Linked DNA regions of Bombyx mori. The protein of the gene in region 3 purifies or fractionates together with the protein of the main gene of each other region. This does not show direct contact. Links are inferred from orthologs where the notes say so. Each region holds a gene or a part of one and is shown on either strand. Other genes may lie near its edges.

Region 1 (7,917 bases), on a different chromosome or scaffold from region 3:
AATTATGTAGGTTATAAACTGATTTACAGTATTACAAATTTTACCTTCTCCTTCTAAATGTTGATTGTGAAGATTTTTAATTCTTCGTTAGTGTCTAGTCAAATTCCATAGAAACAAATGTAATTAAAGCAATAGAAAAAATACAGACTTTTATTTTATTAAATGTGTATGGTTGGCCAAACAAGGTAATTTTGGAGGTGCTGTCTTTGTTAGATTATAATTAAATTTAGTTACATGCCAGTAAAGTAATGTAGATGACAGATTGAATTACGGATTTACGGCTCAAGACCGATAGTTGAAGTTGTGTAGAGTGCGGGCTCCAGTATTGGCCTAAAACTAAGTCGGATAGTCTTCGAAACTGTCTAGAGAAATAAAAACAATATCCTGACTCTTTCTATATTAATGAATTTCATACCAAACTAGCTTTTGTCCGCGACTTCGTCCGCGTGGAATAGTTACTTTGCCACAACGCTAAAATTCGATGCCTCCAATGAACACTACTCTAACTGAAAATTTTGAAATTTTCGTTTTTCACGCAAATCGCTTCACTATTTTAAAAGTATTACAATTAATCATTATTGATGGGGTTCGAAGCAAGAGTAAATCAGCTAGTTACACAAAAAAACCATAAATATATCTGCAATAATAAAGATTTTATCGACTTTTTTCGTTTAAACGCTCCTCCTGTAAATCTATGAATTTAGAGTTAGCGTAGTGTTCATTGGAGGCATCGAAATTTTACCTGCGACTTCATTTACGTAGAAAGAAAAAAACGATTTAGAAACATTCTTTATTGGTATTCCGTTTGTATTGGTCTTAGCGTATAGCCTATAGCCTTCCTCAATAAATGGGCTATCTGACACTGAAATAATTTATCAAATCGGACTAGTAGTTCCTGAGATTAGCGCGTTCAAACAAACAAACAAACTCTTCAGCTTTATAATATTAGTATAGTAGATACCTCGAAATTGGCTTTTTTTTAATTTCTTTTATTGCTAAGTTGGATGGATGGACTCACGGCCCACCCGGTGTTAAGTGGTCACCGGAGCTCATAGACATTACGCATGTAAATGCGGTCACCCACCTTGGACATGTATTCGAAGTCTCAATTTTTAAGTACAACGGCTACCCTACCTTCCAAACCAAGGTAGGATGGTGATACCTACCCGTGCGGGCTTACAAGACGGCCTCACACCAGTAATTACACAAACTGGTTTCATTTTTATTACACGATGATATTCCTTCATCGTGAAGCATTCATGAACATTTGTTAGGTTAGTACGTAACTATTTCATCAGAAAAATTTGTACATGCCTGCGGGACTCGAACACTGGCATAGTCGCATCACTCAGTGCAGAACAGTGCTTCGCAGAACCTACCGCCGGATCGGAAACGCGACCCGGAAACGACCCGCGACGCGAAAAGATCCGACGAGAAACTCTGTGACTTGTGTCTGTGGGTTAATTTACTCGCCTAGCCCTGCGCCGCAAGCGACAGTTTCGACGAGAATCACTCGATACGAGAGTATTGGAGACACCTTGTTCTTTTAGGCCACGACGACTTCACTCTTGTTACGTTCAAAACCAAACATATTTTTCGATTTAAAACAATGAACGCCTCATTTTTAAGGGTTTTATTAATAGTTAAGGAAAACAAAAAAACAAGTGTCAGTATTTTAGTTTTTATTAGTAATACATTCTGTAAGGCTTATATCATAGTTCTATCTCCTTTTCCGTCCAGTAGATTTCTTATTTGGTGCCCTTTTTCCCTTTCCTGCTTTAGGTTTCTTGGCTGAGAAATTTGTTGCATTGCCTTTACCTTGAGTTTTACGTTTTCCTAAGCCGGGTTTCATATTTTTCTTTTCGTGTGATCTCCTAATGATAATACAAACAATAGAAATCAGCTCATTTACTTCGAAGTAATAAAATAAAAACTTTAAAAAAAAAATTCTGATTATATCATTTTCAAATTTACAATAAAATAAAAATAATTTACTTACTTGACTTCCTCTTCATTTATACTTTTCGCTACAGCTTTATCCATATCAATTTTTGGCCTCTTACTCAGTATATTATCAAGTAGATTCAGGTTGTATTCTTTTTCTGCTGCCGGTGTTGGTATAGGTGCTTTACGTTTCCTCTCCTTGCCTGGGATTAGCTCATGTACACCTTTACCGCGTGCTTCTTTCTCTTTGGGTAATTTATCTTGGAATTTTCCAAGAGAAGCCGTTGATGCTTTTGCTACACTTGCTGCTGTGGATAACTGGAAAATTATGAAAAATAATTGTAGATTTATGCATTCATATATTTATAAAATCATTTAAATTATTATCTTTAAACAATAATGTAATGGATAAGCAAAACAAGATGAATGTAATAGTTTAGCAATAAAATTGCAACAGTTAAAAAGTTGTAGTATATCTAATTCTAACTTAATTACAAACAGCAAATGCTGCTTGGCTGTAAGAAAGATCAGGTATGCTACTTTGAGATCATCTAGAATAGAAAAAGGAAAATTGTCCTTTCATTGAATTAGACATGTATTTATTAAAGTATACTATTATCATTGTATAAGATGTCTAATTTGAAACTGAAAAAGGAAAAATTATAATTCAGTACAATATATATTTTTCTACTTGATCCTACCTGTGTGGCAGAAGCTTTATCTGAAGTGACAGGAAGCCCCACCCTTGGTATTTTAACCTTTTTGGCTCTAGCGAGATTCTTAAGTCTCTGTAATTCATTCTTTGCAACCTTTTCTGATTTTTCACCGGCTTTCTTTTCATACATATCTGTCATAGGATCTAAATTCTGTGGGACTTCTATAAGCCAGTTCTTCTCTTTTTCAGCTGCAGTTTTCTTGAAACTGATGATACAGAATTATATAGTCAATTATAGATATAGTTGATTGCCGACAATAATAAACGGACAATGTGTTTTACAACATCCTGGCTATTGGTTTGACTATAAAATACAGATTTTAAAATGATGATATCAATTTTTAATTTCTGCCTAAAAACTTTTGTAAATAAGGTTTTTATGGTTTGTGTTTATAGTTTTCTAGACAACTTTCATTATTCTACTATTGAAAACTCACCCATATAAAGGAACCCATTTCTGCAGCTGTTCATCCCATTGAAGTTTGTCTTTCTTTTTCTTATTAATACCCTTGGCTTTTGCGAACTCTTGCCATTTAGTTAATGGCTTAGGTACAGGCACTGGCTTGGCTCGGGGTAGGATTGTCGTAGGTTGTGGCAATCGAACTACTATGGCCTCTTCGATTCTTTCAGTGGGAAGCTCCCATACTTTATTCAGTAGTAGCTGAGCATTGTCACGGGTCAATGCAAGTAAATATGAATCTTTGTTTGTCCTAAACAACACATAAAATCAATTTAATTTGATAACAAAACATGTGCTGTTAACTAAATTTATGTTTAATCCTGAAATTAATAGTGACTATGCGTTTGCTAAAATGAGATAAGATGAAGACTTACTTCAGCGTTTTTATGTCCAAATCGTTTGTGTCAGAGGCCAATAGTGAACCTAGGTCGAATTCTAATTCCAAATGTTTTTCGACCGTTATTGGTTTATATTTATCTGCTTTCTTTTGTTCCCTTTCTAATATCTCATTTACAATATCCATTGTTATCAGAACACTTCCTTTTTACACATTAGAATTAACAAGCTTATTTGACTTGAGCTAATATTTTCCTTGCTTTACTTTTGTTGAAAAATAACCTCAAAATGTATTTTTTTTTTACAATTTAATTACATATATTTATGATTTCGTAGTTTTCTGGGCAACCACGTTTTGAACTCTGGCATAGATAATAAATATTTAACACATGTCATCATATTGGTAGCTTATTGTAGTAGATAATCTATGCACGTAGAATAATTATTTTAGAATTTTTATGTACATACATATATATTGAAACGATGGAACTCAAGTTCATTTTTATTTTATAATCTATAAATATTTATGTATTCAGTTCTATTACCGCGCATCACTGTACTGTACAGTAACTAAAAGGTGTAGGGGCTTCGTTCCCTTTGTATCACCAGCGAGTTAATAAATGAAGATTATGGAGCATGTCCAAACAGGAACAGGTATAGTGATATAAAGTATAAACGAAATGTATTATGCATAGCCCTCTACCAAGGTTTAATGATAGATAAGACATAAACATAAACGTTACATAGTAACTTTTTAATAATCTGTAACTCTGCCTCAACACTCGCGTATGACGTCGCACTGTGAAGAAACACCATGATCTGCGCCAGAACTGTGTCCCTCCACACTCACAAAGCTTCACAGCTCAGCCTTGTTCGCGATTATGATCGACGACGACGTGATTTCTGCTGCTGCTGTGTATTCTACATACACTTCACTTTCTTTCTATACAATCTATAGCTCGACTTAAGTGATTCTTTATTTTTCTTTAACTCTGACTCAGTTACAGGTGTATTTAAGATAGCACTTATGCGTGTCCAGGCATCATGAACCTTATTCTCATTTTTGTGGTCTTGATGTTTCGGCTTAGGTTTATGGCAATAAATGAGAGTCAGTTCCAGATCATTATTCCACCATTTATATTAGGATCAATCACCAACGCACGCATAACCACTCTACGATGTCCTGTACGCTACTGCGGTAAGCTGCGAGTGTGGATACATTCACGTTCGCGTGCCGCAAACCCTTTGTCGCGGGCCATAAAACCGACACAGATCGGGGAGCGACGCGCGAACGAGAAGGCGTGAACAACATCTACACTCGTGAATTCGCAGTTGTCGCGTTCGCGCCGCGAGTGTAGAGCCGACTTGACGCAGAGTAGGAAGGAATACCGTACTATAGCCATATTAGCCATGGAGTTAATAAGTTCAACTCTAGCTCTATGATTGTAGCCATAGATTATACACTTAAATTGTAGCGTAACTAGCGTAGCATTATAAACTCTAAAAAAAGAAAAATATCGCTTAACTGACATTTTCAATTAAAATAAATGTTTTAATTATTCTAATGCTCGTAGGATTTGTTAACTTAAGATTAAGTAAGATTAACTTGTTAAATTAAAGATTAAACACTTAATATTTGAGTTTAGTTTATTATTGTGTACAAAAAGCAATAAATACATTACCTAAATAAACTGAATTTCAATGTCAAGAACTAAAACTAACCCAAATGGTGGACATAAACAAATATTTAGAAATGCAACTTGAATTAGCGAAAAAGCAAATTGAGAGGAAAAATAGTCAGAAAGAAGATGTATCAACTAAAAGCAAATCTGCTGCTGATTACATATCGCAAAAACAGGCAAAGACTCTGTCAAAATTTCCCCACAATCAAAAAGTAGATGTAAAAACTACTGTGACATCAGGGACTTCAACTGAAGGACACCTCGATGACATCGATTTTGTACCTTCCGATGAGGAAGACGACAGTATCCATAATTTTCCGCTTACTGCGTGTTCTTCTCGTACCAAACAGAATATAAACCGAATTGTTGACGACGGTGATATTAAACAATACAATTTAAGGGTAGAGGTTTGGCGTGAAGGATTAAATACTGTGAAAAGCGGTACATATGAAGGATGCACGTTAACCGCTGACATACAGTACATCCTGGATGGTAATAAAGATAGCGATGAAATGCATGAACTCCAGAATGGTCTATTAGTACCAAAATATATTTGGAAACAGTTATATAAATTTCAAAGAACTGGTGTTAAATGGCTTTGGGAGTTGCATCAAGTGGATTCTGGTGGATTGTTAGGTGATGAAATGGGACTTGGTAAAACAATACAAGTCATTGCATTCCTAACTGCCCTTTCAAAAACCAATTTAGGATCATGGGGTGGTCTTGGTCCGAGTATCATTATCACACCTGCAACAGTTATATATCAATGGGTATCTCATTTTCATTATTGGTGCCCCCTGCTCAGAGTAGCTGTACTGCATCACACTGGCTCTCATGCTGGTAATCACCATAAACTATTAAGGGATATACACAGTGCTCATGGAATCTTGTTAGTAACATATGCAGGCATAGTAAAGTATCATAAAGAACTTAATGCTTATAGTTGGCATTATTTAATTTTGGATGAAGGACACAAAATACGTAATCCTGATACACAAGTAAGTAAAATTGTAAAAAAAATCCAGACACCACACAGATTGTTAATAACAGGCTCACCAATGCAGAACAGTTTGCAGGAACTGTGGTCATTATTTGATTTTATGAGGCCAGGTTTGTTGGGGACATACAATGCATTCATAGAACACTTTGCAGTTCCAATCACTCAAGGAGGCTATGCTAATGCTACTGAAATACAGGAAGCTACTGCCATGGAAATAGCTATTGCTTTGAAAAATATGATCACTCCTTACATGCTGAGGAGAACTAAGGCTGAGGTACAAGGACATATCAAACTCCCAGAAAAGAATGAACAAGTTCTATTCTGTTCTTTAACACAAGAGCAAAGAGATCTTTATATGGGTTACCTTATGAGTAATACAGTGAGAAGCATCTTAGACAAAGAAAATAAATTTGGAAATCCATTAAGAGCGAGGCTACTAGTGGCTCTGTCAACGCTAAGGAAAATATGCAATCATCCTGATATTTATCTCTACGAAGCTCAAGAAGATGAAGAACAGATAGATGAAGAGATATTTGGCCATTGGAAGAGATCTGGAAAAATGACTGTTGTTAATTCATTACTTAAAATATGGAAAAAACAGGGACATAGAGCTCTCATATTCTCTCAGTCAAGAGTAATGCTGTGTCTGTTAGAACAGTATTTACAAAATCAAGGCTTTACATACCTCAAAATGGATGGTACAGTTAATGTTGGCCAAAGGCAAAACTTGATTAAAACTTTTAATGATAACACTGATTATTTAGTTTTTCTTTCCACAACTAGAGTAGGTGGCTTAGGTGTAAATTTAACTGGAGCCGACAGAGTGATAATATATGATCCTGATTGGAATCCTGCAACAGATGATCAAGCAAAGGAAAGAGCATGGAGGATAGGCCAGTCTAGAAATGTAACAGTTTATAGATTGTTGTCAGCTGGGACTATAGAGGAAAAGATTTATCAGAGGCAGATATTCAAACATTTCTTGAGTAATAAAATTTTTGTGGACCCAAATCAAAAGAATTTTTTAACCACCAGTACATTACAGGGACTGTTCACTCTTGAAGAGCTTAACCGTGAAGGAGATACTGAAACTGCATCAATTTTTAAACATACCAAAATTATCAATAAAACCAATAAGAATGATAATGACTTGGATATTTCATCTAAAACAAAGTTAGAAGCCATGAAAAGATTAGCAAAAGAAATAAGTAAAAAAATATCAAAAGAATCCATGAAGGGAACACAGGAAAGTGATCCACGTGAAGAATATAAAAAGAAAAGAGAACAATTATTATGTCCACCTAAAGTGGAAGAACCAGATATTAATTTAGTTGATGATAAAATAACCAATGTAGCTTTTGAAGATGTTTTGTCAGAATTAGATATTGTAAAAATGCATGCAAAGAAAGATTATGAAGAACAATTGTTGAAAAGTGTACTAGAAGATAATGAACAAGATATTAAAGAAGTAGATGAAGAGAAACCTACCAACATTGACAACTCTCAACTTGAAACTAATGAAAGTACTGTAAAAGATATTAAACAAAAGCATAAAAAATCACATAAAATAAAGCGCAAAAGAAGATTATCATCTTCCATTGATGATGGACTCAAAAATTTAGTAACTGTAAAGAAAGTAAAGAAAAAGGATTATAGTAAAAATGAAGTAAAGAAACAAACTAATGATGATGACTATGTGTTAAACAAACTTTTTGCTAAAGCAGCAGTGAAAAACGCGTTACAACATGATGTGGTAGTTGGTTTAGCTGAAAGAGAAAAA
Region 2 (6,264 bases), on a different chromosome or scaffold from region 3:
CCGCCTTCCTGCTGCAGGACCGCCTGCTGCGCTGCTCCGACGAGACAGAGGTCGGTGACGTACTGCTTGCTCTTCATATCGATACCTCACCGACCTAACTTTACTTTACCTTAACTTTTAATTTAACCTTTAAAGAAATATGACTTTCTAAAACGATACCGTAGATTGTAGGATTTTTTTTTCCTACCTATGCTGGGTTTTTTTTATTGTTTGGCTGTGTGAACGAGCTCACAGCCCACCTGGTGTTAAGTGGTTACCGGAGCCCATAGACATCTATAACGTAAATGCGCCACCCACCTTGAGATATAGTTCTAAGGTCTCAGTATAGTCACAACGGCTGCCCCACCCTTCAAACCGAAACGCATTACTGCTTCACGGCAAAAATAGGTTAGCCGGTGGTACCTACCCGCACGGACTCACAAGAGGTCCTACCACCAGTAATTACGCAAATTATATTTTTTTGTGTGTAGCGTGTTTTAATCTCAGTATGTACTTGAGTTGTGCTGTAATGCGACGTGTTAGCGTCAGTACTAAGCGTGTGTGTGTGTGCGGCGCCAGATGGCGGTGTGCACGTCGTGCGGCAGCGTGGCGGGCGCGCGGGGGGGCGGCGCGTGCGCGTGCGGGGGGCGGGCGGGCGCGGTGCGGGCGCCGCACGTCTACAAGCTGTTCGCGACGCAACTCGCGGCGTTGCACGTCAACTGCAGCCTCAAGTGCGTCGACAAAACTATACAACAATAAATCCGAATTGTAATTAAATACATTGCCTGGTTTTATTTCAAACGAGCTTCTAATTCCCTAATATGCACTGATATTTGAGGGCAAAGAAAACATTTTAAAATTACATTTACAAAGAACATAAAGACTCTTTATTAAAAAGTTTTCTTCAAGTTCACCAATACAGATTAACTAAAGAGATTTAAAAAGGGTAAGCAACAGAAATATAATCTATGTATCAAATGACATTTAAAGCAAACAGGGGACTTTTTGGCGGGAACGCGAGGAGTGAAGTTGTGTGATTTGTTTTATTTTGTCTATTTAGTGTTTCTTCGGGTTTAAATGTGTAATAATGGTGGTTTATTAACTGTTTAATATGTGTGAAAGTGCACAAATGTGGGAAAATGAAACAAAGCCGCTGGACGTAACTTCTCGGGATCCTACAAAAAGTCCACTGAAAAAATCTTAGTAAATGACCACCATTTTACTGAGTTTATATTTCATCCCATATCATTTCATTTAATTTCATCCCAGTTGATTAATGTCTCAAATTAATCATCTTCATTTCATTTCATCCCATAATATCATTTTTCATAAAATTGAGAATATAAATTAAAAGAAGACTTGACTTAAAGATCTCAGTTACCAGGTCATAAAATCCCTTAAAAAAATAAAGGAAACAGTTTTATTAAAATAGATAAGTAAACAATATTAAATTTGTTTTTTTAAATGTACCATTCTGTTTTTAATAAAGTTTAATGGGTAGACAAACTCACAAACTACAAGTCGAGGGAACTTATAGATGTCGACGTTGTAGACATGAGTTCGAAGTCAACTGTGTTTTATACAAGGCTATGTTATGAAATAATTACTGCTCGTATGCTTTCTGAGGACTCCACTTGTGATATTTAGATCTTATTTAATTATAGATTTATTTTATCCCAATATATGGTCGCATCTCTAATACAGAAAAGTGCAGTACTAAATTGTTTAAAATTTATAATCTTTTTAAATAAAATAATGCACAAAGTATAGTGTTATTTCACGAATCTCTACTTCGGTTAAATTTTCTTTAACTGAATTCGTGGTACATATTGTATCTCGATACGAATTAGGTAATAATTATTTTTACTTTTTTTCGCATCACTCGATACTCGATTCTAATTCCACAAAACAAATGAGCATTGGCCAGATAGTATATGTAGATTTGTTAAAAAAAAACATCGTTTGTATAGTACTAAGTATTTAATCTATTTTACGTTAAAAAATATGGTGGGTATTACGTTCTATCAAGTGTATAATCTATGGTTCTATCTTTCGTTTTGACATTTCTCATTCTTACTCTATGTATGTTTTATACAGGCCAAGGTAATGCGCCATAACAAATTGAATTCTTAAATTAAAAGTGGAATTGACAGATGCATCGGGCGACGCTTAGTATTTGATTAAAAGTAGGGTTAAAAGAAATAACTCCAAGATAGCAGTTTTGTTGGTCCATAAAACCGTCTGAAATACTTTATTTTTAAAGGTACAATATCTTAACACCAATAGTAATTAAATTCTACATTATTCGACTAATCTTCGTCCATGGCCACACTCTCGTCTAATTCGGACTTCTTCTTCTTCTTTTTCTTTTTCTTCTTGGCACTGGCCTCGGCGTCAACAGCCTTCTGAACTTCGTCCATAGCTTCCTTCATCACTTCAATATTCTTTTTGGGAATATCACCGGTCTCATAGAATTTCAGACGGTCTTCTACTTGCTGACGGAGTTTTTCACCAAATACAGCTGATTGCATTTCTGTAACATTTCAAGAGTTATTTTGAGTCTTTCCAAAATAAAATATGTATATCATTCTTCTATGGATGGGAAAAAGGTCCCACCAGCTTTTGAGCTGTTACTATATCGCATAAAAAAAATACAATTTTGTCTGAGAATTTAATAAAGAATACATATCGACGCTTGAAAGGCAAACGTGACTAAGCGACAATGCGTGAACTTTACAGTAGGCTAATTTAAAGTTGAAATACCTGAAAAAAATTCTATTTTAACGAATCTAGCTGTAGGATTGAAATGATTTTAATAGAAATATATATATTTTTTGCACACCGAATATGGTTATTGCCTATCGTTTATGTACAAAGCAATTATTGTCGCTTAGTCGTTTGCCTTTCAAGCGTCGATATTGAAATATGTATAAACTTTTTTAACTTTTTATCGATCTATCTAAGTACATATTTTTAAAATTTTCCTTTTTTTATACAATTATATAGGTAGTTTATGAAATCTCAGTAAGGCAATGTAGCGAACATTTAAAAACTGCCATAATTAATTACTTATGACAGTTACTGGATATAGCAATTAATATAGCACGACCCTTATTACCGCAAGTTATTTACAATACTGACGGTAGATCACAGTGTGCCTAGATATCTTTCAGATAAATTTGTTGCTTGTGAAGGCTTGGTGGTAAGGCTCAAGAAAAGCTGTTAATAGAAAAAAAAACGTAAAACAATATCGTTCATTGTTTAAACTTTTATGACAATTAAGTTTTCTAGTCAGAAAAATTTAATTACCAGAGAAACAATCGATCCTGGATGCAATTGAGCACTTATTGGCCAGATATCTGCTGATCCGACCTTTGTTCTTCAGTCCGGCACGTCCAATGAACGTGGAGTGGTATAGCAGACCATATTTTGGAGTATTCGAACGTGTCTTCAGAGCTCGGAAGAGAGCTTTTTCTGCACCTGAATTTTGTAATAAAATCATTTGTATAGAAAATTGTTATCTTACAATAGGGGAAATACAACAAAAATGTAAATCATGTTGGAGATATTTTCAATATTTGATATTTTATACTTATTTATTCTTAGTAATGGTTATTAGAGAAATTGTATTTATTATAATTACTAGCGACCCGCCCTCGCTTCGCTTCGGAAACTGTAATTTATTATTGATTTCTCCACTATTTAATGGATGTTATGATACATATAAACCTTCCTCTTCAATCACTTTATCTATTAAGAAAAAACGCATCAAAATCCGTTGCGTAGTTTTAAAGATTTAAGCATACATAGGGATATAGGGACAGACTTTGTTTTATACTATGTTGTGGTTATCAGTGTATATTTAAAATTGTATGTTGATGATCAGCTAGACTTGTAAATTGAAAAATGTGACCAACTTACCCAATATCTGCAATGTAGATGCGGGATACTTGGCAAGGTTGGTCAGGGAGCCAGCCTTGGAGATCAGCCTGGCTCCAACTTGATCTCCAACCAACGTAGACAAATTAGGTGCTACGGAGTTCATCTTACTATGCAGGTATTCTGAAATCTGTTTTCTGTGGGGACACAATGTTAATTGAAATTATTAGTTATTTCTTGATGTTAACAGATTTTCAATAGGTCCTTTTTAAGATTGAAATTAAATGACAATTTCGAATCAAATAAGACCACATTGGACTCCAGCATCAATATCGCTATCCACTGCGCAGATAGGATAGAATGGAGGAACATAGTTCTAACAACAATGTTTCGTAAAGGTCACAACCCTCAGCACTGGGGAACACAATGCAAAGAGAAGGAGGAGATTTAAATTATTGATAGCATAACAGAGTAAAATAGTGAACAAGTAACTTTTTAATTTCTTTTAAATTTTTATCCACATGATACTCTTATAAGATTTTAAAATATATGCTATCATGAATCAACAAACAAAGTATTAAGCATCTATTTAAATTTTAAATAAACATTATACTAACCTATAATTGCTGAGTGCTACTACTCTGCCAGCAAACATTTGGATGTTAATCAAGTCAACTGGTGAAATATCCATTCCCATGGACATTTTCGAGGCATCTATGATAGCCTGCGCCTTCTCGGAGTCTCCCAGGATCTCAGTGAGCGGTTCTAATGACTCTTCGCACAGGGTCTTCCTATCTTTTATGAACTCGGCGCATTTTGTGTACAGGTGATTTTCAGGAACAATTGACACAAGCTCCGGGAAGTGATAGGAATACCATTCTCTAGAAACAGTACAAAATTAGTAAGTCTACAAGATTTAGTAACAACATTTTCACAATATTTTATATTTTTGTACTAGTGGTACTAATTTTTGTACTCTTGGGAGTCCGCACGGGTAGGTTCCACCACCCCGCCTATTTCCGCCGTGAAGCAGTAATGCGTTTCGGTTCGAAGGGTGGGGTTGCCGTTGTTACTATACTGAGACCTTAGAACTTATATCTCGAGGTGGGTGGCGCATTTACGTTGTAGATGTGTATGGGCTCCAGTAACCACTTAAATGCAGGTGGGCTATGAGCTCGTTTATCCATCTATGCAATATAAAAAAAAAAACCTCACCTTATTCTCATGGAGAAAGTGTTAACATCTTTGTCAAGTTGATCGAGCAGGGCTATTGATTGTATGATCATGTTGTCCACTCGGTGAACATTGAACTTGACACGAGCTCGTGAGTATGAGTGGCCAAGACCAAGCTGTGCCACACTGCATGCTTTGAGGGTAAGGCCTTTGATGAGCGAGTGGAAGTGATAACGTATGCCTGTTTAAAGAACAAAGAAAACTTAGTATTTTCACATTTGTCGTCTTAATTCTGACAAATGACATTAATTACCTCACCAAATACGATTAAGATCCAAAGTGAGATAAAGAAACATAGATTCACTGGTGGTAAGACCTCTTGTGAGTCCGCACGGGTAGGTACCACCACCCCGCCTATTTCCGCCGTGAAGCAGTAATGCGTTTCAGTTCGAAGGGTGGGGTAGCCGTTGTAACTATACTGAGACCTTAGAACTTATATCTCAAGGTGGGTGGCGCATTTACGTTGTAGATGTCTATGGGCTGCAGTAACCACTTAACACCAGGTGGGCTGTGAGCTCGTCCACCTATCTAAGCAATAAATAAATAAAAAAATTTACCACAAAGCCATCTAAATACCAATTTTTCATTTAACAATGAAAGAAGAACTCTATGATATTGAAAATATCCATTGTATATGTCATAACAGACCTCTCAAAATCTCCGGGACTGCTCCTGTATGCGTGCACTGAATTTCCAGGGCCTCGCTGATGGCTGCTCCTAGCTTGGGATCCAGTACACCGAGTGTGCATTTTGATCGTTTTTTCCTCTTTGGAAGACCACCTTCGAGGAATAGATTCAAATCCTCAGGAAGAATACCTGTAAAATAATGGAGTTTTTTTTTTTGCTCCAGTTTACAGTTGTAGTGAAGTGTTAGTGTTCACCAGGAGACTATATCTTAGAAATCATATTTAGTATTTGAAAAATAATCATGTGACTTTTTTATGAAGGAAGGATTACTTGTGGCCCGGAGGCCTTTCCAGTTTCACCAGAACAGGGAATCACAAACTATTTAGTTGCAGACTGTAAACAGTGGTCAATGTATTGCAACGATGGCCTCTAGTCATAAACACTTTACAATAAAATTTCAGTATTCGCTAGTTTTGTATCTGGTGGAAAAACCAACTGATCACAGTGAACATTGATGTATGTATATTTGAAGGGTGTAGGCGTGAA
Region 3 (7,945 bases):
TATTAAATGAAATGAAATGAAGTTGATTGATTTGGAACACTAATCAATTGGCATGAAATTAAATGAAATGATATGGGTTGATATATAATCTCAGTAAAATGGTGGTTATTTACTAAGATTTTTTCAGTAGGCTTTTTGAAGGATCCCGAGAAGCTACGCAAATTAATTTGTACGGTGGCTTACTAACTTAAAAAAACTAAATAGACACATTAAAACAAATAAAAAATGTGTGCGTGTACTAGTGTACACACGTAAGAAGTGAAACTTGTTTATGGCCTTATTTTTCGAAAAATGATCTACATGCAACTTTCTAGAAATTGGTTAAATAAAGTTAAATTAGATAAAGTTTAAACAAAAGGATTTTATTATCATAGACATGAATACAAAAAAGTTAAATTAGATAAAGTTTAAACAAAAGGATTTTATTATCATAGACATGAATACAAAACAGATGGCGCGTAACGGAAAAAAGTGACGCGTAACCGAAAAATGTGACGGTAAATTTTTTTCCAACGCCGATAAGGAAGTTTCACTTCAAAAAGTCTCGGCAATCCAATAGTAGTAGTACCTAGTTCCATTTTTCCAACTAGAAAACCGAAACTATCACACCATACAGCCTAAGCTTTGTAAATAGTGTTATATGAAAAATTATATTATCATGGAGCGAAATAAACTGAAGTTCAGTTATCCAATTAATCAATTGGGATGAAATTAAATGAAACAAGTAAAACAGTGGTCATTTACTGAGATTTTTTGAGAGATCCCGAGACGTTAGGTCCTGGGAGTTTGTTACATTTTCTCACTTTGTGCACTTTCATAGATTCTAATTAGTTAATAAACCACTTTTAATATACGTTTAAACAGGAAGAAACACAAAATTAACAAAAAAAAAGTGAGCAGTCACGGGACGCCTGGCAGACGTGAAACATCGACATTATTTGGTAAAATTAATATGCAGAAATGAACAGATTGTGATAGGAACTAAATATGTCATAATGATAAAATAAAATCTATCGAAAAAATAATTTGTTTTCAAGTAAAACACAGGTTATGGGTACTGTAGTAAACAAAACTGTATACACTACGGAGTATACACTATAGATATCTGAGAGAGATGGCTTAACGCCGGATCGAGTGGGAGAGAATCGCACAGTCGATTGCGCATGGCGACGTGTCGCCACGCCAGAAATCGGTTTTACGTGTGGCTATAGATGTTTCACATCAAAATAAAACAGTTCACACAGCTTTACTCCTCGCGTTCCCATCAAAAAGTCCTACCAATGCGATATTACACAAAAAAACAAATAGATAATTTTTGTTTTGTTCATTGCATAGGCGCCATGGGCAAAAGGGCAATTTTTGATGTAACGATCAAAGTTGTGTAGTTTGAAATGTTAAATAAAACTGACTGAAAATAAAATTAAGAAATCAAAGTAAAAGAAAACATTTACCGTAGAATGAGCAGCAATGTCCTCTGTAGGATTTACCATCCAGGATTTACTATTTAGTCCATTTACAATATATAATGATTGAGTTTTTGACTTTCTGTTGCATGTAGCATTTTAACTATGATACGGGTTGGGATTTTGAGTTCCGGTAACTATTGCTTAATGCCCCATATATTAATATGCATTGATAATTATAAACCATAGAAAGAAATATAACGTGTGACTGTGAATGGATAAGTACCGGTAAAATGGGGCGATTAGGGATTGAGAGGCGAATCGGGAAAAAACCGGGAAAATCTTTCGACGCTCAATATAAGTTTTATATTCGTTTCAAAATCTTCCATTTTTTGTAGTTTAATAGTAGAATGTTGAAAGTTCACAAAACAACTCTGAATATGCATGATAATAGCTGCTAACTTATAAAAAATCGCGTTTCAAATTAACTTCCTGTGGTGGTAATTATTTTAGTGCTAGAAACTTTGCTCTCTTTTATTTATTTGATAATAATAGAAGACGACTATGATTTATAAACGTTATTTAGTGTTTGAACCAGCATATATATTAAAAGTAAGTCTCAGTTGTTATTGGTTTTAATGTATTTGATTAAATAAAAATACATGTAAAAATCTGTTGTTTTTGGGGATATTGGGGACGTCTTAGGTACAAATAACAACGAAAAAGGGGTCAATTGGGATGAGAATACGTGAAATGGAAACTACCTAAGTATAAATAGGTACAGGTTTGTAGGGTTGTCTATGTAGTTATAACAATATTTTTTATATTTGTTGGTAAAAATCTGGTTTATTCGAAGCGAAATTGGGAATAAGTCTTTATTTGAAATAGATAAGCAATTTAATATAAGTAAGTTGATTTTGCAGAGACATGTAACAAGATTAATGAAATCTCAAGGTGGACAAAAATGTCTAAGTAATACTTAATAAAATATTTAATATTTGTTCAGAGTGGGGGTATTCATCTGATTAATCCATGGAATAACCGACACACCTAATCTCTTAACCCAGATAGAAATATCAGCACTGTCGATTGCACCAATAATTGAGGTGATGTCTGCCATGTACTTTTGTCAGTTTTTCAATTTTTTTTATTGATGATCACTTTGTTGGTGCAATTAAATAAATAAATAAATTAAAACTATATATAAAAATAAAAGTAGTGCCAACCCTAGCAAATTTCTCATTTCGTCCCAATTAACCGCAATTTTCGGGTAAATAGGGATTACACCTATTTTTGCATTTTTTGCTTAAACTGGAATGCTAGTTGCATAATTTTAAATTAGACAACAAAAATGCCCCCAAGACTCAATCATTTTGATCCTGATATAGCATTATATACATCAACAACTACCTTAAAATTGCTCATAAAGTTGGAATTTGTCCCTAATCGCCCCATTTTACGGTAATCTGTAAAAATGACACCAACCCATAGATAATAAATTGAATGTATCAAAGTATCAATCAAAATATAACCTACCAGCACGTGTGAACTTTGCAGTGTTTTTCAAGTAGGTACATAATCAAGTTATTAATAATTAATTGAAGTGGAAAATTAGTTGTCGAAAATGGGTAGAAAAGCGAAATTTGATGAGACGAAAAAAGTGAAAAAAGGTCCTGGAAGGAAAGCAAAAAAACAGCCCGATCCAGTATTTAGAAAGGAGCTATGTGAGTATTCCACATAATCGTTTGTTACAAATCAACACAATCTTAATTTCAAGTTTATTACATTTTTAAAAATAACTAAGAAATTGACATTATTATCCACCACCCCGTTATTTTCTGCCAAAAATTCAAATCTACAATTTGTTCTCGAACTACGAACATTTCAAAATTATAGTTAGTTTAAATGATTAGGCAGTTCCCCAATTTTTACCCTAGCACTGCTTTTAGCATTGTGGATTATTTATTCAATAAATACTGACCATTTATAGTCCACATTGTCACACACATGTTGTATATTTGAGTCGTCTATTATCAAAGGTGGCAATCTGTGCATTTGGACAAAAAAATGTTATTGATATGTCAATACAGATTGATTTGAATATAATGGCTGAGCCTTTGCTCGCCCACCTGTCCTGGTGAAACTGGAAAGGCCTTCGGGCCACCAGTAAACTTTCAATCATGAATATAATCGTCTCCTTCAAAGAATACGGTTCAAAACCTGCATTAAATAAAGGTTAATACTTAACCTGTTATTTATCTAAGATGTCGTTCAGAAGAGTTTTCTGACTGCCAATGGAATACAAAGTCAATAATTCGTTTTTCTGATTTACCAATAATTGTCCAAAAGTCACAATGCCGGCTTTGATAATAGTCGACTCATTTATCACATGTCAACCTTTATATTTTCATAATAGTTTTGTTTTCCTATTTTAGTAGAGACTGAAGATCAGGTGAAAAAACTGACTCACAGGCAAAAGCAAAGGGCCGCAAAACGTGCCAAAAAAAAGGCTGAAATAGTTGAAAAAAGAAAAGCTATAAAACAAGGCAAGAAAAATGAAGCTAAAGAAATTGAGACAAATGACGAAGACATTAAAAAACCAGTTGTAAAAGGTAAAGCTGACCAATTAAAAAAAAAAATACATCTTTTTTTGTTTTTGTTTATTGCATAGATGGCTGGACGAGCTCATAGCCCACCTGGTGTTAATTGGTTACCGAAGCCCATAGACATCTACAACGTAAATGCCACCACCCACCTTGAGATATGAGTTCTAAGGTCTCAGTATAGTTACAAAGGCTACACCCCACCCTTCAAAGCATTTCTTCTTCATGGCAGAAATAGGCAGGGTAGTGGTACCTACCTGTGCGGACTCACAAGAGGTCCTACCATCAGTAAAAGTTCTTGGTTTTCTCAAATTCCTGTTTTTGAATGTTTGGTTGCTTGCTTTTTAAACCTCTATGATCTTATTGTGAGTAATGCAAAGGGTACCAGCTAACCTATGTTATTTTCCCATCTTCTATCTCCAGTTGTAGTATTTTTCCTTTAGTACTCCTTTTCTTTATCTTTGTTCTTTATTATTCTATTGTGTTCTATCATAGCTGTCTGAAGATGACTTCCAACTATAATTCGTGTAGTTAATGCACCCAAATGAAGCAATATAAAATGGTTAATGTAATATTCCAGGTTACTCTGATGACAACAAAGAATGGCTGAAACCAAAACAGAAGGTTAAACAACAGAAAAAACAAAAAGATTCAGACAGTGACATTTGTGATCAAGATGAGGGTTCAGAGATGGAGCAGGACTCTGAAGCTGAAAGTGAGCATGAAGAAGAAACAAAAACTGTCAGTGAAAAGTATAAGGTAAAACTAATCTTACAACTTTCTCCTAAATAGTTAATGAGTGCTATACATTGTAATAATACTGGTGGTAGAACCTTTCATGAGTCCGCACGGGTAGGTACCACCACCCTGCCTACTTCTGTTGTGAAGCAGTAATGTGTTTCGGTTTGAAGGATGGGGCAGCCGTTGTAACTATACTTGAGACCTTAGAATTTATATCTCAAGGTGGGTGGCGCATTTACGTCGTAGATGTCAATGGGCTCCAGTAACCACTTAACACCAGGTGGGCTGTGAGCTTGTCCACGCAATAAAATAAAGTAATGGTTTATCACAGAAGATAATTTGATTTGTTAAACACTTGTAGGTGGGAACTCTTGATGATCTATTCAAAGATTCTGATGAAGAGGAGGCGGATCCAAGTTCAGAAGAAGAAGGATCTGTAAATAGTGGCAATGCAGGATATAATTCTGATTCAAGTGAAGAAGAATCTGATGAGGATGGTGATGATGAGGATATGCTGCCTATTGAAAAAGCAAATGTGAAGCTGAAGAAGAAACAAAAGGAGGAAAAGAAATTGGCAGATGAGGAAATGCAATTGAATATATCAAAACAAGATGTTTTTGCTTTCCCTTCAGAAGAAGAGCTACAGAATCCTACCAGCCTTCAAGATGTACAACAAAGGATCAAAGATGTAGTCTCTGTTTTGACAGAATTTAATAGATTAAAAGAGGAAGGGCGTTCAAGATGTGAATACACAGACTTATTACTTAAAGATCTTTGTACCTATTATAGTTATAATGAGTTTTTGATGGAAGTTCTTATGCAAATATTTCCTGTACAAGAATTAGTGGAGTTTTTGGAAGCAAGTGAGATTGCTAGACCTGTGACGATAAGAACTAACAGTCTCAAAACTAGAAGAAGAGATTTAGCCCAGGCATTGATTAATCGAGGAGTCAATTTGGACCCAGTTGGCAAATGGAGCAAGGTTGGCCTTGTTATTTATAGTTCCACAGTACCTATTGGTGCAACGCCTGAGTATTTAGCTGGTCACTATATATTACAAGGTGCATCAAGTTTTTTACCAGTAATGGCATTAGCCCCTCAAGAAAATGAGAGAATATTAGATATGTGTGCTGCTCCAGGTGGGAAAGCGTCACATATAGCTGCTATAATGAAAAATACTGGTGCCTTATTTGCAAATGATGCAAACAAAGAAAGAACAAAAGCAGTTGTGGGAAATTTCCACAGATTGGGTGTAGTCAATGCTGTTATATGCAATTATGATGGTCGACAATTCCCTGAAGTTATTAAAGGGTTTGACAGGGTATTGCTTGACGCACCATGTACTGGTACTGGGGTAATTGCTAAAGATCCCAGTGTAAAGACTACGAAAGACCAGAAGGACATACAAAGGTGTTTTAATTTGCAGAGGCAGCTATTGTTAGCTGCAATTGATTGTTGTAATGCCAAATCAAGTACGGGCGGGTATATTGTGTACTCCACTTGTTCTATTTTACCTGAAGAAAATGAATGGGTTGTAAATTACGCATTGAAGAGACGAAATGTGAAATTGGTTCCCACAGGCCTTGATTTTGGAACTGAAGGTTTTATGAAATACAGGCATCATAGGTTCCATCCATCATTAAAATTGACTAGAAGATTTTATCCTCACACACATAATATGGATGGATTCTTTGTCGCTAAATTAAAGAAATTCTCCAATGTCATTGTAAGTTTTTTATGAAGTACCATCGTAATAATGACCTACTAAATTAACCTGAATTTGTTTTTTACTCTAAATGGTCTTACAGTCCATCTAATATGAATTTACACTGGGGACTTTGCCAATAAGAAATTGATGTCTCAAAAGAAGGGAAAGCTTTCTATTATTTCTTCTAGAAAGAATCAATTTAAAAGAAATGAGATTTTACAATAGTCTTATCAGTATAGTATAATTGGTGACTCAGTAGTAGTTCAAGAAATAGTTCCATTTTACATATTTAGTGAACTTTATTTTTATTTATTTTTAGCCTGAGGCAGTTATAGATGATGATGATAAGGAAACCGAAGGTGCAGATGAAGAAACAGTTGTCACAAACGAAGGAGATCAGTCTACAGATGCCATTTCTAATAATGTAACTTCCAAGGTCAGTGGCCCCCAGAAAAGAACTTTGGAGCCAGAGTCGAATATAGCTGAGCCACAAACAAAGAAAATGAAAGGTGAAAATGCAAAAAGGTAATTTTCAATTAATGTTTTTTTTTTTTATTGCTTAGATGAGTGGACGAGCCTTGATATATCAGTTCTGAGGTCTCAGTATAGTTACAACGGCTGCCCCGCCCTACAAACCGAAACGCATTACTACTTCACGGCAGAAATAGGCAGGGCGGTGGTACCTACCCGCGCGGACTCACAAGAGGTCCTACCACCAGTAATTACGCAAATTCTAATTTTGCGGGTTTGATTTTTATTACACGATGTTATTCCTTCACCGTGGAAGTCAATCGTGAATATTTGTAGAGTACGTATTTCATTAGAAAAATTGGTACCCGGGCTGGGATTCGAACCCCGGTGCATCGCTCAACACGAATGCACCGGACGACTTTATCGTTAAGGTCACGACGACTTCTTGATGTTAAGGGAAGTGTTGTTTTTAAAGCAGTGTTTATTTATTTATTATAAAATTACAAGTCTGGTATACCAATGTTATATCAGAGAATAGTACGAACTGTGTTAACATTGAATCATAGAAACAACTAGAAAACTTTGTTACCTTATTTTCAGTTCCACTGGAAACGCTGCGGTCAATAAGAAAAATAAAAATAAAAATAAGAAGGGACCTCAGTCACAGAACCTAAACAACTCAAATAGTAGAGTTCAGGGTAAAATGGGCAGTGCAGAAAAATTGCAAAACTCAAGAAAGCAGCAAGAACCCTCACTACATGGTCAAGGAAAGCAACATGAAAAGAAAAATAGTAAACTTGGTAAAAACAGAAAAGTAAATGGTCTGACTGAAAATAAAAATAAAAAGGCAAATGAAAACAAACCTAACAGTTCCAATCCAATGAAGACAACAAATAAAAAGCATAGTAAAATTAATAAAAATCACAGTAAAATCAAAAGAAAGGTTTGATAAACGTTTATGTAAGGATAGCATAAAAGAAAGTGAGAATTTATGTGCTATTTGACATATTATATTGGAT
Region 4 (8,167 bases), on a different chromosome or scaffold from region 3:
ATATTTAATCTCAATTTGACAACAGACGTCAAGAACAAAAGTTTGACAATAAATAGTATGCATGCGTGTGTGCGTCAAATACATAGTATGTAGTGTGTGTAATGTTTTCTTTATTGATTTAATGTATCTTTTATGCATTACTTTAAAAAAATATTAGCATTGTGCACTTCTTCTCTATATTCTCTATAAGTGTGGAAAATTTCATACTCCTCCGTCCGCGCAATTTTCGTAAAAAGGGATACAAAGTTTTTGTTTCACGTATTAATATATAGATTTACATCATGGAGTTAATAAGTACCTATATGATTTACATACAATAAAGATTTGATTTGCGCGCTACCTAGTTTCGAACGGCAAAAGCGTGAAAATTGAACGGACACAATTACGTAACTAAGGTTGTAAACTTCCAATCATAAAAATTAGTTCAAAAGCGCAATAAAAGGTGGCAGTTTGGTAAAAAATATAATACTATTTTAAACTGTTTCTACGTATTATTAATGAGTCGTCAATAGAATTGATAATAATCAAAGGCCGCAATCTGTGCATTTGGACAAAAAAAAATTATTGACATGTCAATACAGATTGATTTGAATATAATCGTCTCCTTCAAAGAATACGGTTCAACACCTGCATTAAATTAAGGTTAATAGTTAACCTGTTATTTATCTAAGATGTCGTTCAGAAGAGTTTTGTGACTGCCAATGGAATACAAAGTCAATAATTCGTTTTTTCTGATTTACCAATAATTGTCCAAAAGTCACATTGCCGGCTTTGATAATAGTCGACTCATTTAACAAGAATTATCATAAATACACCGAGGACAAGGAAAATGCAATATCAGCGCAAGTTAAAAACTTGAAAATTTGACAGTGGCGCCATCTACGTTGTTTTAGGCATCCACTGTGGATTTTAAGATAAAGTATGAGATATGGGAATCGATGAGTTTCACAAATGCATAAAACTTCAGACGTGTAGTTACTTTTTGTCAGGAATACTATCGACACGTAGACATACCGGGGTTTTTTTAAATTATACCCCAAGAGATTGTCGTATAACACTTAACAACGATATATGGCGAGTGATTAATATCAATCGGTCTTTTTCACACTAATCTATCTATAAAATATTTAAAAATGAATTGCTGTTCGTTAGTCTCGCTAGAACTCGAGAGAATTATTTGTGGAAGTCCAGGGAAGGTTTAAAAGGTAGATAAATATGAAAATGCTCGAAATTAAATAAAAATAACAATTTTGTTTTCCCTCTCGTGTCCCCCGTCGGACAGATTCCTTTTGTTTGTTTTAAGTTTATTTTATACAAAAGTTTAGGTCTTTTATTTCTCGATTGAGGCATTACGAAGTCTGCCGGGTCAGCTAGTTAGAAATAGCTTTGAGCATGACTGGGTTGAAATATTCTTTATAATAAATAAAACTAACTGACAAAACATATGTCACATTTTTTGTTGTAAATAAAACAAGAACCCGATTCCTTTTCATTATTTACTACGTAAGCGTATCCTCAGAGCGTATATATTCTCCTACGTCGGCCTGGTGGAAGACAATCGTCGCCAAAGGATCAGCGTGTCGACATTCTGCCGTCGTTCTTGAAGCTACGCCAAAGCCAATCGGAATATCTGACATCGTTAATACCACCACACCTTGATGTTTCGGTGTATTTTCTGTTATCCGGCCCAAGCCTGGAAATAAAACAATATCCTTTATACTGAACTGTTGATTGAAGAATATGGATACCGATAACAATGCTAACTAATAGTATTATTATACAAATAGTTGTACCCGTCCGCTTCGCTGGGCATTTAAAATTAACATTATTATTTCTCGCCCCCCACAGTTTCTCATCATTAACGCCCCCGCAACTGGTGTAGCGAGTCTAACACTCATATAAATATTAGCCTATCCATTAAGTACATGTATTTTCTACATTGATACCAAGTTTCAAGTAAATCAGATGCATGGTTCAGTAGTTATAACGGAACATCCGTAAAAAACAATATAGATTTATATATTAGTATAGATTACTATCTTTGTGTAATATATTCAATCTTTAATCATATCAAACATTCCTAACAATATTCTCTCTGAGAAATGATGATGTCATATATATCCAATAATTGTTTATTAATGTGTTATATCTGCCTTCTCACCTCTGATCTCTTGCTATGAATCATAAATGCTAACTAAGGACTACACAAGAGAGCGGGGGGGGGCAGTAGGGTTTTCTGAGTATTATAAAATGACACAGCAACTGCAAACCTTAATTTTCCAGTGGTACAGCATATTGTAACCTAGCAAAGATAAATATCACCAGACTGCCTATATCTGCCGCAATGCAATTATGCATTCCAGTTTGAAGATGAACCTATGTCTATGAACTTTGGTAACCACTTAGCTCCTATCGGTATTAACCCCACTCATCCAGATTTTTAGTTTGCTTGGTTTATTGCGTTGAATACGTTATCCATTTCCTCAATGTAAGATTTAGTAATAGCATTATTTTTTATTGATGCTATCTCTTTCAAGGAAAATGTCTATTGTATTTTTTAAGCATGAAATAAAGTAATCTCAACCAGCCTAGTCCTAAAAAAATTTCAATTCATTGTAAATTTTTTCTTATATAATTTTTACTACAAAAAATTAAGTTATTAGGTTATGTAAAATATATACTTTATTATTTAATAATGAACTTAAGCACATGTGTTCGGTAACAAATCAGTTTATTGTGTGTCTGTCTTTATGCAACCCGCACTTAGCAATCCTTTTATTAAAAGGAAAACAAGTACCCTCACTAATACACTGCATTTTTAAATCTATTTCTAAGTACACAAGGAGCATGTTAGTTGAATAATTAAAACAATTAAAATGACAGTTGGTCCCTCCACAATCCGGTTACTGCACTGTTGAAGGTTTAATCTATGTTATCCTAGCCCTTATGAAGAAAACTTATAATACTAACCACTTTTGATGATGTGGTGTCCATACAAGAACTGTTGTTCCGCAGACGGCTTCACCCACACTTTGAACGGCGCATAGGGTGATATGTAAGTCAAAGCTGTAATGTGCAACCTAAATTTATTTGTCTTTGTGAACTTTCCGAAGCATGTCCCCGCAGATACTAAGTTGTCCGGCTTCACTGTCTGTGCTAGATGCAGTAGCTTCTCTGATATGTAATACACTCTGTCTTTCTTCTCTCTGAAGCAATATGTGCCATCAGGTCTGTCTATTAATAACTTAACGTTTACTCCAATGCTAAAATCAAATGTTTAAATTAGAATCAAAGAATTATTTTGAAACCTTTTTCTATTGTTAAGTTGCCTTATCGATATACCCTATATACACAGCAACATGTCAAAAATGGAGGATTTTTCAACCAAATTCTTTCAAAACAATACAGTAGTGTGTTGAAACTAGTATACTACGTGCGCGACGACGGCTTGTCGTCGTCGTGGCCTAAAGGATAAGGCGTTCGGTGCATTCGTTGTTGTGATGCACCGGTGTTCGAATCCCGCAGGCGGGTACCAATTTTTCGAATGAAATACGTACTTAACAAATGTTCACGATTGACTTCCACGGTAATCACTGGTGGTAGGACCTATTGTGAGTCCGCACGGGTAGGTACCACCGCCCTGCCTATTTCTGCCGTGAAGCAGTAATGCGTTTCGGTTTGAAGGGTGGGGTAGCCGTTGTAACTATACTGAGACCTTAGAACTTATATCTCAAGGTGGGTGGCGCATTTACGTTGTAGATGTCTATGGGCTCCAGTAACCACTTAACACCAGGTGGGCTGTGAGCTCGTCCACCCATCTAAGAAATAAATAAAAAAAGCTTAAACAAATTAGACTATTCAGTAAACTACAAGATAATTAAGAAAAAAAACTTTCTTACATATTAAGGTACGAAGGTGTGAAGATAAAGTATGACATAAATGTAATAAAAGAAAATGTCAACTTTGACATGTGGCTTTGTATATGTCTTTATTTTTCTATTTACTTAAATGAGTAAACAAGAACTCACTAGGGTTTCAGTGGTAAGCCCATAGACATGTGAATCTGCAACCCACCTTGAGACTTGAGTTCCAATTATTTAGTATACTGATGGAACGCATAGCTGCTTTGCATCATAATAGCCAGGAGGTGGAGGTGGAGGTGCCTACCTCTACTGGCTCAAAAATCACCTTACACTCAGTAAGTATGTACTCTTTATTTTGGTAATTGATAATAAATAAGTAGTTTATTATTTATTAATTATAGAACTAATAAATACTCCATATTTATTACTATTAATATTTTTTATTTTTATTCTTTACCTAATCGTTGGTAGACCACTGGGCTATTCCAACTACACGTGAATGGGTGGGTGAGCTGACAGGCTCAACCCAAAAAAATTGTCAACTCTAGCCCCAGCAAGAACAATGCTTTGCTGAATCTTCCATCAGATCGGAATCATGACCAGCGATGCGAGAAATAAATAAAAATTGTGGTTAGAAATATGTTGTTTTATAAATACAATGTGGCTGTGTAGCCCAAATTTCTACTAAGAATATTCAGAAATACTCACTATTTGGTTAGCTTCTCGAATAATATTCTTGTACGATCTTCTGATAATACTTTCATTTTCAATTATTTTATTATATTCTCTAAAAATAAAAACACGTGAGTTAAACGTTACCAAAAACATCAACCATCCTAGTTTTGACAGTACGGTTAGATATTCAATTCAGAAGTGTCAAATGATAAATTTGACAGTAATGAACGAATGAGATCAACAAGTAGAAAATGGACTCCTATACATACCCCTCGACCAAACTATTTAAATACATCTCACAAAAAAATATCTTACTCGAAAAAGATAATTTCATTTATTGTCAATAAGAAACGTAATCTCAAAGCGACTTTCTATCATAGGGTATTTAAAAAAAAACAAGTTTAAAATACTTTATGTTGGAATTTCTGAACGAAATTATTCAGAGATCATCAAAATAATCTCACTCAGTGCGCCTTTGTCACTACAATTCATTCCTGTGATTCATTCCTTATGCTCTCATAGAGAAGCGGTGTGTGGGAAGTTTCGGTGAGTAGTTACTTTTATTTCATTACAGTTACGAGTTCAGTAATGTATGCTACTTTTCGAAAAAATAACTGCTTAAAATAGTTTTTTAGCACTTTTAAGTGCTTACAAATTGGTGGCGAGTTAACTTTTCATTCAACATCTGTTTTCATTGAATGACCATGAAATAAATGAGTGAGCGAATAACACGTGATAAAAACAAAATTTAGTGTCAAAAGTATTTTTTGTAAATATGTACATATCCTTTATTATCTTTCTGATTCGTTTAAATTTTTAAATATACCAAGCAAGCAGTAAATGGTAAATAGATAAATAACTATGCAGACTCTCTTAAACTTTTAAAAGTTTGTTATGAATTATATAAACTTTAAGTATGAAATCAAGACCGGCTGTGGTGATAACTTATGTACATACACTCCTACAAGTTATTATAAATGTGCGATTATGATTTTTTTAAATTTAAATATACATTTAAGGTATTCGAATATAAAATAAAACAAATGAAATATATGATTCCCTTTGTTTGCTATTTACATACCGCGAAAGGCATATTAAGATGAATCACATCACAAGAAGTCATCTGTTTTAAATTAATTAAAATCAGAGACGCACAGGTCTACGCACTCTGAGGATACTTGTGACGCGCTTGCTTTACAAATTCGCCATTTGTGATTCAAATTACGAGTTTATTATTTTCATTCGCGTTATCTACCTTTGTTTTACACTGACAAGTATGTACATCTATAGAAAATAATACTCCACACAACTCAGGATCCTTCGCATAAACCATAGAGTAAGATTATATGTAACCTTTTTAAGCATAAACTTTTCGGTAGCCATAAAGTAGGTGTTGTACACAGTGGCGTACCTAGAACTTTTGCCGCCCGGGGCGATCTCCAGTCTGCCGCCCTTTCTATTATAAGTCAATCAAATAGTGGTTTTTATAAATTAATGCACATAAATAAATTATTAAGTTATTTAATCAATATTAATTAATCCACAGAGTAAATTTTTTAGACTTATTTGTATGCACTCGTAAACATATTTATATAATATCTACTCTTCTAGCTTTCATACTAGAAAAATCGTGTATAATGCTCTCAAAATTTATATTATTTGTAATTTCTTGTTCTATTGACAATATTGCAAGATTTTGTAGTCTTGATTGACTCATTGTAGAACGAAGATAATTTTTTATCAACTTCAATTTTGAGAAGCTTCTTTCGCAACTAGCGACACTGATTCAAATTGTTAAGAAAAATCTTAACAAAATTACAATATTGGGAACAGAATTTTCCAACCTATACTGCTGAATAAATTTTAGCAGGTCGAGAGGGCCCTTCTCCCCGTTTTTCCAATGTTTTACCTCTTCTTTTAGTGTAGATACAGCCATAAAAACCTGGATCCTTTTTCTTTCAATATGGAACTGTTCTTTATCAATGTCGATCAAATCATTTATTTGACATTCAAATTCTTCATTTAGTAGGTTACACGGTATTATACACGAATATTTTCTTACAAGACCATGCAATTGATCGAAGCGTTCTTTTATTTCCTTTATAATTCTGTCCATAGATGAAAACATTTCTCTTCGTACTTCTTCTTCTAAGGATAGCCCCACGTCTTGAGAATTTTCCCCACTCATATTTTTTCTCCTTCTAACTCGACGCTCTGTCGATATTTCCATCTCTTCACAAATTATTTTGGCAGCTATAACAGCGTTTTGTACTAGCGTATCTCTTTGTTCCATTAAATGTGTTTGCAAAGAATTTAGTTTTATATGGCATTGGTGGACATTTAACCCCTTTATTTGCAGGTATTTTTGAGCGTCATTAATTTCCAAAAGAACGGATTCCCATAAATGAAGGTAACATAGAAAAGAAAAAGATTGCATAGAATTGAGTAATACTCCAGCATCTGATCGCGTTTTACTATTTTCTTCTTCAGATCAATGGCGGATCCAGGGGGAGGGTCATGGGGGTCATGACCACCCCCTGAGCTGGGTCCAGGACTTAGGTGGACCACTAATTGAATATAATGATTTTATTTATATGTCGTGGATAACGACTTTTAGTTGTCGTGGATAACGACTTTTAGTAATGTTAAGACGGTGGTTTTGATTATTATTTTAAATGATGAAATGTTGTTTTGATAAATATCACAAAATGAAGGGTAGACACCGTAACGCCACAGTATAAAATAGCGGTACGTGGACAGAGTCGTGGCATTCGTGTCAGACAGTGATTCCGTCCGTCTCAGCAGTGAGTCTCTGACAGTCAGTCAGTCAGTCAGTCGGTCTGTCGGTATGTGCAACGAAACTGTCGGTTTATCCTGTCATTGTGAAACTTGTGTGTGTTGAGTTTCAATAATTATTATTGAAAAGTTTTATTGACTAAACTGAGTTCAATCGAATACGAGTGATGACGGAACCTACCGCTCAGCCATCCCTGACGTGTGCCGACATATATATTTTGTCACCATACATATTTTATGTAACTACATACCTTCAATATTTAATTAATTTATTATAATATAATAACTTTGTATAATGGAAAACGTTTGGGAACGAACGCATCTAAATTTGACTATGTGACCCCCTCCTGGCGCCAAAGCTGGATCCGCCCTTGCTTCAGATGTCAATTTTTCCAAAGCGCTTAAAATGTAAAAAAAATGTTTTTTTACTATAGTTACCGCTGCAGCTCTAGCGCTCCAGTGACCGAAAGTAAAACATTCCATCTATGAGTGGAAGAAGAAAACAACGAAAACAACTGTTCGATAGTTCCAAAAAATGTGATGGAATTGATAGCTGTAGAAGCTGCGTGCAAACATGCCAGGTTTAAGGAATGATTTGTACATGCTACAAATTCTGCATTTGGATTTATTTCTTTAATACGAGTTTGAACACCGCTGTGCTTTCCTGCCATGACGGCAGCATTATCGTAAGCCTGTCCTCTGCAATTTTTTATATCTAAACCGTCATTTTCTAATTTCGTTAAAATCATATCTGTGATTTCAACAGCAGTTTTTCCTTTAGTTTCTACAAAGTCAATAAACGATTCTACAACTTTAACTTCGCTACCTTCAAT

The links.
Region 1: the proteins of uncharacterized protein LOC101741314 (region 3) and ribosome biogenesis regulatory protein homolog fractionate together in Homo sapiens (co-fractionation; 3 studies listed by BioGRID and IntAct, with this or other methods). This does not show direct contact. The link is inferred for Bombyx mori from reciprocal best matches to the Homo sapiens genes NOP2 and RRS1.
Region 2: the proteins of uncharacterized protein LOC101741314 (region 3) and nucleolar protein 56 fractionate together in Homo sapiens (co-fractionation; 3 studies listed by BioGRID and IntAct, with this or other methods). This does not show direct contact. The link is inferred for Bombyx mori from reciprocal best matches to the Homo sapiens genes NOP2 and NOP56.
Region 4: the proteins of uncharacterized protein LOC101741314 (region 3) and 60S ribosome subunit biogenesis protein NIP7 homolog purify together in Homo sapiens (affinity purification with mass spectrometry; 3 studies listed by BioGRID and IntAct, with this or other methods). This does not show direct contact. The link is inferred for Bombyx mori from reciprocal best matches to the Homo sapiens genes NOP2 and NIP7.

The regions. Positions count from the first base shown.
Region 1 is NC_085123.1:3,056,444-3,064,360, reverse strand, and holds ribosome biogenesis regulatory protein homolog, read right to left. Parts: upstream 4,047-7,917; 5' UTR 3,643-4,046; coding exon 3,494-3,642; intron 3,370-3,493; coding exon 3,097-3,369; intron 2,866-3,096; coding exon 2,646-2,865; intron 2,263-2,645; coding exon 2,000-2,262; intron 1,875-1,999; coding exon 1,721-1,874; 3' UTR 1,668-1,720; downstream 1-1,667. Other genes in the region: DNA excision repair protein ERCC-6, read left to right, coding at 5,182-7,917. UniProt on the Homo sapiens protein: Involved in ribosomal large subunit assembly. May regulate the localization of the 5S RNP/5S ribonucleoprotein particle to the nucleolus.
Region 2 is NC_085132.1:2,378,551-2,384,814, forward strand, and holds the end of nucleolar protein 56, read right to left. Parts: intron 5,908-6,264; coding exon 5,740-5,907; intron 5,273-5,739; coding exon 5,074-5,272; intron 4,740-5,073; coding exon 4,476-4,739; intron 4,056-4,475; coding exon 3,901-4,055; intron 3,460-3,900; coding exon 3,289-3,459; intron 2,513-3,288; coding exon 2,289-2,512; 3' UTR 2,193-2,288; downstream 1-2,192. Other genes in the region: DNA-directed RNA polymerase I subunit RPA2, read left to right, coding at 1-50, 559-738. UniProt on the Homo sapiens protein: Involved in the early to middle stages of 60S ribosomal subunit biogenesis. Required for the biogenesis of box C/D snoRNAs such U3, U8 and U14 snoRNAs. Part of the small subunit (SSU) processome, first precursor of the small eukaryotic ribosomal subunit.
Region 3 is NC_085116.1:6,476,446-6,484,390, forward strand, and holds the start of uncharacterized protein LOC101741314, read left to right. Parts: upstream 1-2,871; 5' UTR 2,872-3,027; coding exon 3,028-3,127; intron 3,128-3,838; coding exon 3,839-4,015; intron 4,016-4,586; coding exon 4,587-4,765; intron 4,766-5,108; coding exon 5,109-6,473; intron 6,474-6,774; coding exon 6,775-6,980; intron 6,981-7,526; coding exon 7,527-7,875; 3' UTR 7,876-7,945. UniProt on the Homo sapiens protein: S-adenosyl-L-methionine-dependent methyltransferase that specifically methylates the C(5) position of cytosine 4447 in 28S rRNA. Required for efficient rRNA processing and 60S ribosomal subunit biogenesis.
Region 4 is NC_085130.1:6,213,952-6,222,118, reverse strand, and holds 60S ribosome subunit biogenesis protein NIP7 homolog, read right to left. Parts: upstream 4,806-8,167; 5' UTR 4,628-4,805; coding exon 4,572-4,627; intron 3,264-4,571; coding exon 2,971-3,263; intron 1,694-2,970; coding exon 1,500-1,693; 3' UTR 1,483-1,499; downstream 1-1,482.